Saccharomyces cerevisiae S288C: one gene and its partners. The main gene of each other region encodes a partner of the protein of the gene in region 4 in a complex. Each region holds a gene or a part of one and is shown on either strand. Other genes may lie near its edges.

Region 1 (2,965 bases), on a different chromosome or scaffold from region 4:
CGGGCGAAATGAGGGCTTCCCCTTCGATAAATGGGATAAAAACGGTAGAGTCATGGTTCAATGATTTTTTGATGAACTCTTTCGAACATCTTAAGAACGAAACTCTGTTCAAGACATGCTGGCCAAAAAAAGTCACAGCAGTGGACATTCTCTCAACTAACCGTAGCGTAATCAAAAAAAAATCAGGAGCAAAAAGGTACAATCTTTATCTTCTCTTTCGTTTCGCTCCTGCTCTTGTTCTTTATTCTTATGGTTGGTGGGCTTTATATTTCGAAGAAAAGCAACCGCTTTTGTAAGTTGGAAAAGTAGATTTATGAAGTGATAGATTAGCCCGTCTGAAATACTTATAACACGAAAACGAATGCCATAATGAAGTTGAAGATACTATAGAAAATAATAAGGAAATCAATCATTTTTATACATCTACTTGCAAGAAGCGATGTGGCAAAATATATAAAAGGCAGGACGAAAGAAGAATAAAGAGTTAAACATATTTACATGATATATTCCTTATTTTCTCGAAGAGAAAACAGACTATTTTGATTAACACGATTGGTAGATTGCTACAGTTTTAAAATCATTCTAAACTGACCTTAGCTCCTAAGTCTTCCAAGGTTTTCTTAATCTTTTCAGCATCATCCTTGGCGACATTTTCTTTCAAGACCTTTGGTGCAGCTTCAACGAATTTCTTAGCTTCAACTAATGAAAGCCCCAATAATCCCTTGACTTCCTTGATGACTTTAGCCTTAGTCTTCGTGTCGAACGAGTCCAACTTCACCGTAAACACGGTCTTTGCCTCAGGCTTAGCTTCTTCTTCAGCACCACTACCAGCTTCACCAGTGGAGCTAGGTACATTACCAGCACCTGCGCCTGCAGCGCCTGCCATGAATCCGCCCATAGGCATGGAAATTTCTGGAATGTTCAATACGGTTTTCAGCTCGTTGATTAAACTGGAAGTTTCCAAAAGAGTCAATTGTGAAATGTCCTGTACAATTTTAGAAATTTTAGGATCAACTGGCCTTACATCATCCTTATGTGATGGTGCTGTTGTAGTCGTAGAATTGAAACGGGTTGTGATAGTAATAGGAGAAATTAGCGCTGGTGTAACGCGCGTTTTCATCCAGATAGAAGAAGATCTCTTCGCTAGTATACGTAAGGACATACTGGGCGCTTATTTAATTGACTGTGTTTGCTGCTGACGGGCTGCTTGTCCTGTTCCTTCCAGAACTTACCGAGTTCTTGTTTGCCATTAGTTTGAGTTGTTTTATTGGACTTCAAGACATAGGGCGGGTAAGTTGAAAAATTTTGTTTTGGTGAATAGCGTTAAAGAGTAAGTCAAATGGAACAAGAGCAGATTCTAGGTAGAACGAAAGTTACAAAATCTAGCCAAAAGAGCAAGTTAAACTCCCCTTAAAACTGCTATGACTACGTTTAGATTTTGTCGTGACTGCAACAATATGTTGTACCCTCGTGAGGATAAAGAAAATAACCGGTTGTTATTTGAATGCAGAACATGCTCGTATGTAGAAGAAGCGGGCAGTCCATTGGTCTACAGGCATGAATTGATTACCAACATTGGTGAAACTGCGGGAGTGGTGCAAGATATTGGTTCCGATCCCACTCTTCCGAGATCTGATAGAGAATGTCCCAAATGTCACTCTCGGGAAAATGTGTTTTTTCAATCACAACAAAGAAGAAAGGATACTTCGATGGTTTTATTCTTTGTGTGCTTATCTTGCTCACACATATTTACTTCAGATCAAAAAAACAAAAGGACGCAGTTTTCATGAGTGCTCAACGAACTTTCAAAATTAATGACAGAGGGAGAGAAAATGGGACTTATCTTCACGTATGTCTTGTATGTATGAGAAAAGCACTACTATTTACACCAGCCTAATCTACCGGCAAAAGGATGATGTGAAATAACAGGGGGAAGGAACATGAAAAAATCCTGATCTTAGCACCGATATATGTAATATAATAAGAACGATTTTTTATCTGTAACAAAAGTAGAAAAAAGAATGTATACTATTGTTTTCTTTTTCTTCTTTAAAAAGTCAAAATTGTATAGATGCGTATATGTTCAGTATATAATTAATGAAGAAAGATGAAAATGTAATGAAAATGGACGAGAGATACGTCTAAGTTTGATTTCATCTATATGCTAATCTTCTGGCTTCACATACTTCAACTCGCCGTTCACCATTTTAATGTCTTTGAACTCTTCCAATAATGTGTTTCCCATTATTTCTAGCGATTCATGCGTTTGCATATCCTTTTGTACTGTTTGGTGCTGTTCGTGGTTATGGCCGTCGTGGGGCTGATTTTGGTGATATTGCAATTGCTGCGGTGGCTGCTGTTGCGGACCATATTGATGTGATCGTACTTGAGGTTCATTAGAGCTGAGATGACGATGGTCAACATGTTGAAAATCTATAGGATGTTGAGAACCGTGTGGGCCATTTTGTACAAATTTCAATTCGTCGAAGATTTTTGTTGAAGAGCTGCCAACTAAAGCTTCTTGTCTTAAAAGTGAGTTGCCCAGATCAGAAACGTTATGCTGAGTATTTAGCGAATGTGAATTGTTGTTTGGAACGCCGATGTTATTGTGGTTAGCAGCATCGGAGTGCGTCAAATATTGTAGAATATACTCATTATGTTCTTGGGAACTATTAGCAAATCTATCAATAATATCCTGGTTTTCCTGATGTGTTTCATTTGGGTCATGATGGACTGGGGGAGCACTACTAAGAATTTGGCTGAAATCTGCCTCTGAGTTCAAATATGGAGAATGAACAAAATCATCTGACTCTCCTTCAAATTCATTATTCGTGTTTGTAGTTAATGGAGAGAAGAGTATAGAGGAACAATCGTCCAATTGGTCGAAGACTTGTCTTGGATGGGTAGACCCGCTATGTGGATGCGGCGATTTGGTAAAAATGTTCGTAAAGTCAATTTCGTTCAA
Region 2 (3,428 bases), on a different chromosome or scaffold from region 4:
TTTCTTGATTCACTCTGGTCAACCAGTCAACGACTTCATTGACACTGCTACTAGACACGTCTTGATGAGACAAGGTGTTTTGGGTATCAAGGTTAAGATTATGAGAGACCCAGCTAAGAGCAGAACTGGTCCAAAGGCTTTGCCAGATGCTGTCACCATCATTGAACCAAAAGAAGAAGAACCAATTCTTGCTCCATCTGTCAAGGACTACAGACCAGCTGAAGAAACTGAAGCTCAAGCTGAACCAGTTGAAGCTTAGATTTAATTATTAAATACATAAATAAACTATAAGTACAATAATTTCTTCTATTCTAGTGCACTTAATTGTTGCGGTTTCTTGCATATTGCCGTGTTTAGTCAGGAGGGTGCACGTTGAAGCAGTGCGTTGAAACTAGTTGTTATTTACAGAATCACAATATTATATAATCAAAAGAAAAGTTTTGTACAACACAACTGTGAATATAGGTTAAGAAGTGAGTAGCAGTTCATCTTTCTCAGCTTACAGGACGATTTCTCGGATATGAATGAGTTCGCTATCGTTTTCACCACTTGTATACGCCGCCTGTAACACCCCTAATGGGCTTATCTCCCAACTGTACCCATGGCGCTCTTTTTTGCTCTTTTAAATGTGCTTCATAAGCAAGTCTTCGTTTCGTAACACTCTTTGTTCTCAGAATACATCTGACATGTATGTAAGGATGACTTATGATTCCGATTCTTGTCCTTGCCTTGAATTCAACACGTTTTCTCCAAAACCCGTCACTCCCTGTCCAAATCTGAGAGATATATAAGTCCTCTGGTTTCAAACCTAATTTTTGGCCATCTTTTACACCTTTTTGAAGTAGTTCTGCTACTTCGCGAGCAATTTTCTTATTAGAAAAGTGACACTGAGATATAGCTTTCATAACGTCGAGGCCTCCCAATAACCTCAACAAAAGTGTAGCCTTTTTCATCGACGATTTAATTCTATATGACTGAGCATATACGGAAGGTTCTAGTACTTCAATTTCTCTTTTTGTTAACTTTAGCTTGTAACGTTCGCTAGAATTTGGTAACTTTACAATAGTATCTTTCTTGTAAAACCCACCATTAATTTTACAATTAGCTTCATATATTTCCCTTTTCAAAGGAGATAATAAGCTCTGTGATGCTAATTGTTCCGGTTGCTGCAACGATATGATATGTTGCTGTAGTAGTTTATCGTTTTCTATGGTTATTGAATCCCTATTAACTTCAGGAGCCTCTCCAGAAGAATCAGAAGCAATCGCTAACCTATTAGAGAAGCTGCCTGCATCTTCATCCCCCCTGTTTTTTCCTTCCTTTGGTTTATTTTCTGTAATGCTTCCGAATAGTGATCCTCCTGAATTATTAAGACTTATTGGCGTTACATGAATCCAACGTCTACTTACAGAAGAAAGTAGAGCCCTAGAAATGACACCGACCTGAGATATTCTTGCCGTGTGGAAGTTCATTTTCTTTAATAAAAAAGATAGGGTGAGGTGAGGTTCTCTGACTTGCTATGCGGCTCCTAATGGCGTATGTTAAAATGCCTTCCAGATTGGATAGTTGACTTTTATTCAAAATCCCGAGTACAGTGAAGGCTTAGTTACCCCGCCCACAGAAGATTAATAGAATATCATGAGTACTGTTCAAGCAGCAAGCAGGAGAAAAGACTGAAAGAGTTTCGTATAATTTAGTATTTATTTATTTAGGAGAACTAAAATATTTTCTTTATACACAAAGAACAAAGTTTTCTTTTTTTTTCATTGCAGAATGGTATCATTGTTTTTTATGCCTTTTAAAAGGCCTTGTCGTTCTTCACTATTGGCAATAAAGATGTTTTTATGATTTTTAATAGTAGTGTTATTCAGCAAGAGCTGATTTTGCTTAATTAGTAAACATCATACTAATAGACTGAAGTCATCGTCATATAATTTCCCTCAAGAACCCTTGTGAATTGTTCTGAACTGTATTTCTCTCATCATGAGAGATGTCATTATCTAAACCACGTCCGAGTCGTATCGAATTTGAAGATAAAGTAGAAAAGCCACCTTGAGTAGATGAACCCAATGACGAATATGTAAATGAAGAGCCATAGGAAAATCTGTTTTCCTGGTCCATGAAATTACTCCGCATATTTTGAAAGGAGCCATTCATTGCGGTAACATTCCTTGGTGGTGGCACTGGAGGAGGATTTCCTCTTGCCTTAAAATTGAATTCGTTGCTGAACGGATTATTAGCAGAAGCAGTCTCGGTGTTTCGTTGCTGTGATCCCGAGTCTTGAGCTTGAAGTGACGCCTCTTTTGCTTGGGCAGTTGTTGGGAATCCCGTTCTGCGCCCAATCTCGTGACAGAAGGAATCGTTTTCCTTGAAATGCCTCTTTGCCTTCCTTTTTCTAACCAGCATGAACCAAACTACTAGTACACATATAAGAATACCACCGACGCTTCCTACCACACTTCCAACAATGGTACCAGTATTTGTCTTTGAAGTGCCTTGGTTTTTGTTATTATCCAAACTGCCATCAAGCCAGTGCTGATAGAAAGACATGTCAGCTGTGATCGTCGAAGATGGAGCGGAAAATGAGGTTACCTCACTTTTTGCAACTGCTATGGTCGTAGGTAATCCCGTCACGAACGTTGTAGAGGAGTCAGTAATATCATATGTTTGGGTATAGAAATAATAAATAGTTTTTGAATCTTCGGAGCTTGAAATGGCTACCGTATTGAAGACCTGACTGGATGTTGGTATGGGAGACGTAGAAATCGTACTAGTGCTGGGTGTTTGAGTGGTGGGTGGTATACTGCTGCTAGTAGTAGATTGTAAGGACTGAAAAGTATACGTGCTTGAGTAAGCACTTGTTGTATCATCTGATGATGATGATGATGAAGGACGGTTTGAAGGTACTTTACTGCTGGATGAGCTAACAGAACTTGACGTTGGCACGGAAATCGTGCTTATGGAAACTGTCGAAGATGAAGCTGATGGACTGAGTTTCGATGATTTGCTTATGGTTGAAAAATCGTTCGTCGATGAAAGCGATGAACTGTAAAACGATGTGGAAGTATTCCGACTGGAACTTGGGAATGTGGTATCTTTATTTGATATCGTAGAAGGAGAAGAAATTGTTGAGAACCAACTAGAAGAGAGTTCTGAAGTGGTACTAATTTGAAATGAAGTTGCAGATATGGAAGACAAGTATGTGTAACTAGGGGATATTACGGTGGGTGTTGATGGTGAGAAAATAGAAGATCTGCTGTCGAACGAAAACAATTTAGTGTCTGAATATGATGAAGATAGTGATAATGACAACGAGGACGATACCAGTAACGAAGATGGTGATGATAACGACGACCATGATGATGACAGCGATGTAGCTGATGACGATAACGTTGGTGTTGTTGATGTTAACGATGACCATTCCGACG
Region 3 (2,743 bases), on a different chromosome or scaffold from region 4:
AGAAATTGGAAGGTACAGCATTTCATTTACTCACTTATTTGATCTTTTCTTTTGTTTTCTGGTAAACATCTTTGTTTTAAATGGGCTCTCTACAACAAAACATGAAAAGTACTCAAGAAAAAAAATCTTTATTAGCGTTGGAATCAAAAAATATATAGCATTAGCAGAACGTTAAAGAGGATATTTGGTTTCTAGTCTAAATGGTGTTCCCTTTTCGAAACTGTATAAAATGAAAGGTAAGGTTCGAACTTCTGTGGCCTTACTTATTGCGTTCATATTCCGTGAAACTAGTATATATTAAAGGTTGCAAGCCAAGAGTTTCATTGAACACCAAAATGTTTACCAAGCAAGAACACGTCACCGCATTAATAACCAATATAAATTTCATTTAAGTTATTTTCATAGGATATTTACAAGGTATTCCCTATAAAGTATAAGAAAAGATACATGTCATAAAAAAAATTACGAAAATGAGTACGAAAATAACTGAAATCCTGAAGTTATTTGATTTTCTTGTCCTTTAGCTTTATTGTTTCATCGTTAACGTATATTCCTTTGCCTTTATACGGCTCTGGTGGATGGAATTTTCTCAATTTGGCAGCAAAAAGAAGGACCTGCTGCTTATTGCACCCTTCAATAATCAGAGACGTGGGAGCAGGTGTTTTGACAACAATACCTTCAGGAACGTCCAATCCTTGTTTGATAGATGCACCCACCTTAACGTTGACAAATTTACCATCATTTTCTAATTGAGCTCTATAACCTGTCCCTACAAATCTAAGGACAGCAAGATGCCCCTCAGTAACACCTATAATGTGATTATTTATAAGTGATCTTACTGTACCCCACATCGAACGTTGATGTTTATCTTCTGAATTCTGAACTGTAACATTTATTTTACCGTGCTTTTCATCCTTGTCCAAGTGCAAAAAATCAGGGACCTCCACGGACAATTCACCCTTGGGTCCCTTTACTGTGATATTCTGTGATATATTCATTGAAGTTCTACCTTTTCTGATAATCCTGGGCATGGATAATGCATTTATGGAAACCTGAACTTCAGGAGATATATAAAGTGGTAAAGACCCCACTTGAGAGCGCAGAAAAAGTGTTTGCGACAATAACCTCCTCTGAATAAATGACATAGGTTGGCCTCAATTCCTATAGTAAGATTTGCGATAGCTTTATTGCGTGATCTTCCCTTACTTACTAGTATTTGATATTCTTCCTCTATAACCGTAGCGTCTCCTCGCTATTTCCGCTCGCCTTTCATTACCCTCTACTTCCAGTGAAAAAAATTTCACTGATATAAGCTCATCGCAACAAAAATTCAATGGGATAAGTAATATAGAACGTTCTAAATAGATAAACCACCAGGCATAATCACAACCAATAATGGTTAGAAAACTAAAGCATCATGAGCAAAAGTTATTGAAAAAAGTAGACTTCCTTGAATGGAAGCAGGACCAAGGCCACCGGGACACTCAGGTCATGAGAACATATCATATTCAGAATCGTGAAGATTATCATAAATACAATAGGATATGCGGTGATATTCGTCGTCTTGCCAATAAATTATCATTATTACCTCCCACTGATCCATTTCGTCGCAAACATGAGCAATTATTACTGGACAAGCTATACGCTATGGGTGTCCTGACAACTAAATCAAAGATTTCTGATCTGGAAAATAAAGTTACTGTTAGTGCCATCTGTAGGAGGCGATTACCTGTAATAATGCATAGATTAAAAATGGCGGAAACTATACAAGATGCAGTCAAGTTCATTGAACAAGGGCATGTTCGCGTGGGTCCAAATTTGATCAACGATCCAGCCTACCTCGTAACGAGAAATATGGAGGACTACGTTACTTGGGTGGACAACTCTAAGATCAAGAAAACCTTGTTGAGATACAGAAACCAAATCGACGATTTTGATTTTTCATAAATTGACTACAAACTTACGTTTTCTGTATCAATACTCGATTTATCATCTTCCTACATTGTGAAATTATTACGAATAGGCAACGAGGCAGCAAATACAAATGATGTGAGGCGCCTGAGCTTTCTTAAAAGCTGGAAGCATGAAAAATTGTTATATACACAAAGGAACTTCTTCGTCGTATGCAAAAATAAGAAAAACCGCAAAACAATTTCTCATCGGCGTCATTTGTTAAATATGCCTTAAAACTTAAAAATACACTTCGAAAAAATCCTATTTAACATAAATTAATTTGTATAAATACGCAATTTGTAAAATTTCTCCAATAAAACATCAATTTATATATCCGATAATTGTCCGTTCATTATCTACACTTCAGTTGACGGTATAATTATGTGAAGAGCCTAATTGTTTTCTTAAATCGTCCTGTGAACCACTATGTGGCAAAATTCCACCAACACTTGGTGGCTGTACAACATCTGTCTCTTCTAATATCCCACTAACACGAGAATTATACAGTTGCTGCTGCTGCTGTTGCAGATAGATATTATTTTGTGTGGTCAGACTGTTATTTCTTGAATTGGTTGCGCTTACACTTCTGAAAGAACCTGCTGGCTTATAAGATGGTTTTGCCGTCAAATCCGAAGGATTGGTCATTACCACACTTTGTCTAAGTTGATAAGGTGAAGGAACCGCCCCATTTTCGTTAAACTTCATATATTGGCCTTGCTGCTGTGGAGCATAATAGGCATCGTTTGTCGGTGAATAAAACATTTCCGGATGATCGACCGGATTTAACGCA
Region 4 (2,797 bases):
CGATAAACACACACTAACACAATATACAGATGTCCACCCTGATTCCTCCACCTTCTAAGAAACAAAAGAAAGAGGCTCAACTTCCCAGAGAAGTAGCTATTATTCCGAAAGATTTACCCAATGTTTCAATCAAGTTCCAAGCTTTAGATACTGGTGACAATGTAGGTGGCGCCCTGAGAGTTCCCGGTGCTATCTCCGAGAAACAGTTAGAAGAACTTTTAAATCAATTGAACGGTACTTCAGACGATCCAGTGCCATATACCTTCAGCTGTACAATTCAAGGTAAGAAGGCCAGTGACCCTGTGAAGACGATTGATATAACAGATAACCTATATTCTTCATTAATAAAACCAGGCTATAACAGTACAGAAGATCAGATCACGCTACTGTATACGCCAAGAGCAGTTTTCAAAGTCAAGCCGGTAACTAGAAGTTCATCAGCCATTGCAGGTCACGGTTCCACAATTTTGTGTTCTGCCTTCGCACCACATACGAGTTCTAGGATGGTAACCGGTGCAGGTGATAATACTGCAAGGATTTGGGACTGTGACACCCAAACGCCAATGCATACTCTAAAGGGTCACTACAATTGGGTTCTCTGCGTTTCCTGGTCCCCCGATGGAGAAGTAATTGCTACGGGATCCATGGACAATACCATAAGATTATGGGACCCAAAAAGCGGTCAGTGTCTAGGTGATGCTCTCAGAGGTCATTCCAAGTGGATCACTTCTTTAAGTTGGGAACCTATACATCTTGTGAAGCCGGGCTCCAAACCAAGATTAGCTTCATCTTCTAAGGATGGTACTATTAAGATTTGGGACACTGTGAGCAGAGTTTGCCAGTATACGATGAGTGGTCACACAAATTCAGTGTCTTGTGTCAAATGGGGCGGCCAAGGTCTATTGTATAGTGGCTCTCACGATAGAACCGTACGTGTATGGGACATCAATTCGCAGGGCAGATGTATCAACATTTTGAAGTCGCATGCGCACTGGGTTAATCACTTATCTTTATCTACAGATTACGCATTGCGCATTGGTGCATTCGATCATACAGGTAAGAAGCCTTCTACACCAGAAGAAGCCCAGAAAAAGGCATTGGAAAATTATGAAAAAATCTGTAAAAAGAATGGAAATTCAGAAGAAATGATGGTTACTGCAAGCGATGATTATACCATGTTTTTATGGAACCCACTAAAATCTACCAAGCCTATAGCAAGAATGACCGGTCACCAAAAATTAGTCAATCATGTGGCGTTCAGCCCTGATGGTAGGTATATTGTCTCAGCGTCTTTTGATAACTCTATCAAACTTTGGGACGGTAGAGATGGTAAGTTTATCTCCACATTTAGAGGGCATGTAGCCAGCGTATACCAGGTTGCGTGGTCATCGGACTGCCGACTACTGGTGTCATGTTCCAAAGATACCACGTTGAAAGTGTGGGATGTAAGAACTAGAAAACTTTCTGTTGACCTCCCTGGTCATAAAGACGAAGTTTATACCGTCGACTGGAGTGTCGACGGTAAAAGAGTGTGTAGTGGTGGGAAAGACAAGATGGTAAGATTGTGGACGCATTGAGTTATGTGCAAAGACAAGTAACATACATGCACATATAAATATTATATAACTGTGATATAGAACTGCATTTTTTTCTTTTTGAATATTAAATATGATGGTGTCGCAAGGTCGATCTATAATGGTCATCGCGTACGAATGGCTTGGTATGAATTTAAAATATGGTACTATAAGCAGTATAGCTCCAGCAAGAAGGAAAACCTTTTGAAAGAAGTGCCCGTTTACCTAAAGCAACTTACTCCAAGGTAGCGTGTGAGCAAAACTATGATCAGTTCGTGTGTTACTAGATGTTTTGGTAGGGGTAAATGCCTTCCAGGGCCTGCCACTGCCTCGATATACCAAACGATAAGATGTATATCCACTAATTCAAATAAAGCTGCTGAGGCGCCAATATTTCCAAAGCTGGAAGACGTGAAGATGCATGAGCTCATAGGAAACAACAATTTTGGTAAAAAGACCTACTACGTGGAGAGAAGCAGGACCGGAAATCTACCGGTGTATTCCGCTTATAAAAATGGAGGTAACAAGATTATCACGGAGATCAGAAAGATTGAAGGAGATGTAATTCAACTAAGAAATGACTTGCAGGAGCAACTGCCTTTCATACCCAAAAAATCATGGTCTGTGGTGATGCAATCGAAAAAAATTATTATCAAGGGCAATGCAGTAGAGGCTGTCAAAAGGGTATTAACCAAGAAATTTTAGGTATCGCTAATGTATAAAAAAATAATTGTCATGTATATATATTAATTAAAATCATAGCCATGTGGTCATCAAGCCATCGAAAAGAAGTTGCTTACTTGTGTCTTAATGAAACCGTATGAGGCTTTTCGTGCATGCCCTTGTAGGCAATGAAACAAAGGCCAAGAACAGTTAAACACATCAAGGCTCTGGAAATTGGGTGGTTTAAATCATAGGCGGTGGTTCCAGTGGAGGTGGTTAAAGGTGTGTAGGCTTTATCGTTACGGAAGATGTTTTCCAAAGTGGAGCCAACAGACACATCGCCATTTCTAAACTTCTCGACTTTTTCTGTGTACGCAGCGTGCAAATCTAAGATGTTACTAATTTTTAAGATTTCTAGAACGAAATACAGGAACCGTAATTCATGCTGAGGCTTTCCATATTCGTCTGTTTCTGTGTATTGAATAGCATCCATTAGTTGATCTAGACCAGAAGTTATTTGACCAAACACGACACTTTTGCCATCCAATTCCTCATTTCCA

The links.
Region 1: IMG2 (region 4) and MNP1 share a complex: the UniProt entries of both Saccharomyces cerevisiae proteins name them as parts of the mitochondrial large ribosomal subunit.
Region 2: IMG2 (region 4) and MRPL22 share a complex: the UniProt entries of both Saccharomyces cerevisiae proteins name them as parts of the mitochondrial large ribosomal subunit.
Region 3: IMG2 (region 4) and MRPL6 share a complex: the UniProt entries of both Saccharomyces cerevisiae proteins name them as parts of the mitochondrial large ribosomal subunit.

What each region holds. Positions count from the first base shown.
Region 1 is NC_001139.9:373,284-376,248, reverse strand, and holds MNP1 (mitochondrial 54S ribosomal protein bL12m MNP1), read right to left. Parts: upstream 1,163-2,965; coding exon 578-1,162; downstream 1-577. Other genes in the region: NPY1 (NAD(+) diphosphatase), read right to left, coding at 1-148; DNA-directed RNA polymerase II core subunit RPB9, read left to right, coding at 1,422-1,790; DNA-binding transcription factor AFT1, read right to left, coding at 2,165-2,965. UniProt on the Saccharomyces cerevisiae protein: Component of the mitochondrial ribosome (mitoribosome), a dedicated translation machinery responsible for the synthesis of mitochondrial genome-encoded proteins, including at least some of the essential transmembrane subunits of the mitochondrial respiratory chain.
Region 2 is NC_001146.8:303,144-306,571, forward strand, and holds MRPL22 (mitochondrial 54S ribosomal protein uL22m MRPL22), read right to left. Parts: upstream 1,473-3,428; coding exon 543-1,472; downstream 1-542. Other genes in the region: 40S ribosomal protein uS3 RPS3, read left to right, coding at 1-259; TDA7 (Tda7p), read right to left, coding at 1,927-3,428. UniProt on the Saccharomyces cerevisiae protein: Component of the mitochondrial ribosome (mitoribosome), a dedicated translation machinery responsible for the synthesis of mitochondrial genome-encoded proteins, including at least some of the essential transmembrane subunits of the mitochondrial respiratory chain.
Region 3 is NC_001140.6:392,139-394,881, forward strand, and holds MRPL6 (mitochondrial 54S ribosomal protein uL6m MRPL6), read right to left. Parts: upstream 1,146-2,743; coding exon 501-1,145; downstream 1-500. Other genes in the region: snoRNA-binding rRNA-processing protein IMP3, read left to right, coding at 1,396-1,947; SKG6 (Skg6p), read right to left, coding at 2,317-2,743. UniProt on the Saccharomyces cerevisiae protein: Component of the mitochondrial ribosome (mitoribosome), a dedicated translation machinery responsible for the synthesis of mitochondrial genome-encoded proteins, including at least some of the essential transmembrane subunits of the mitochondrial respiratory chain.
Region 4 is NC_001135.5:239,585-242,381, reverse strand, and holds IMG2 (mitochondrial 54S ribosomal protein mL49 IMG2), read left to right. Parts: upstream 1-1,838; coding exon 1,839-2,279; downstream 2,280-2,797. Other genes in the region: RSA4 (Rsa4p), read left to right, coding at 30-1,577; peptidylprolyl isomerase family protein CPR4, read right to left, coding at 2,371-2,797. UniProt on the Saccharomyces cerevisiae protein: Component of the mitochondrial ribosome (mitoribosome), a dedicated translation machinery responsible for the synthesis of mitochondrial genome-encoded proteins, including at least some of the essential transmembrane subunits of the mitochondrial respiratory chain.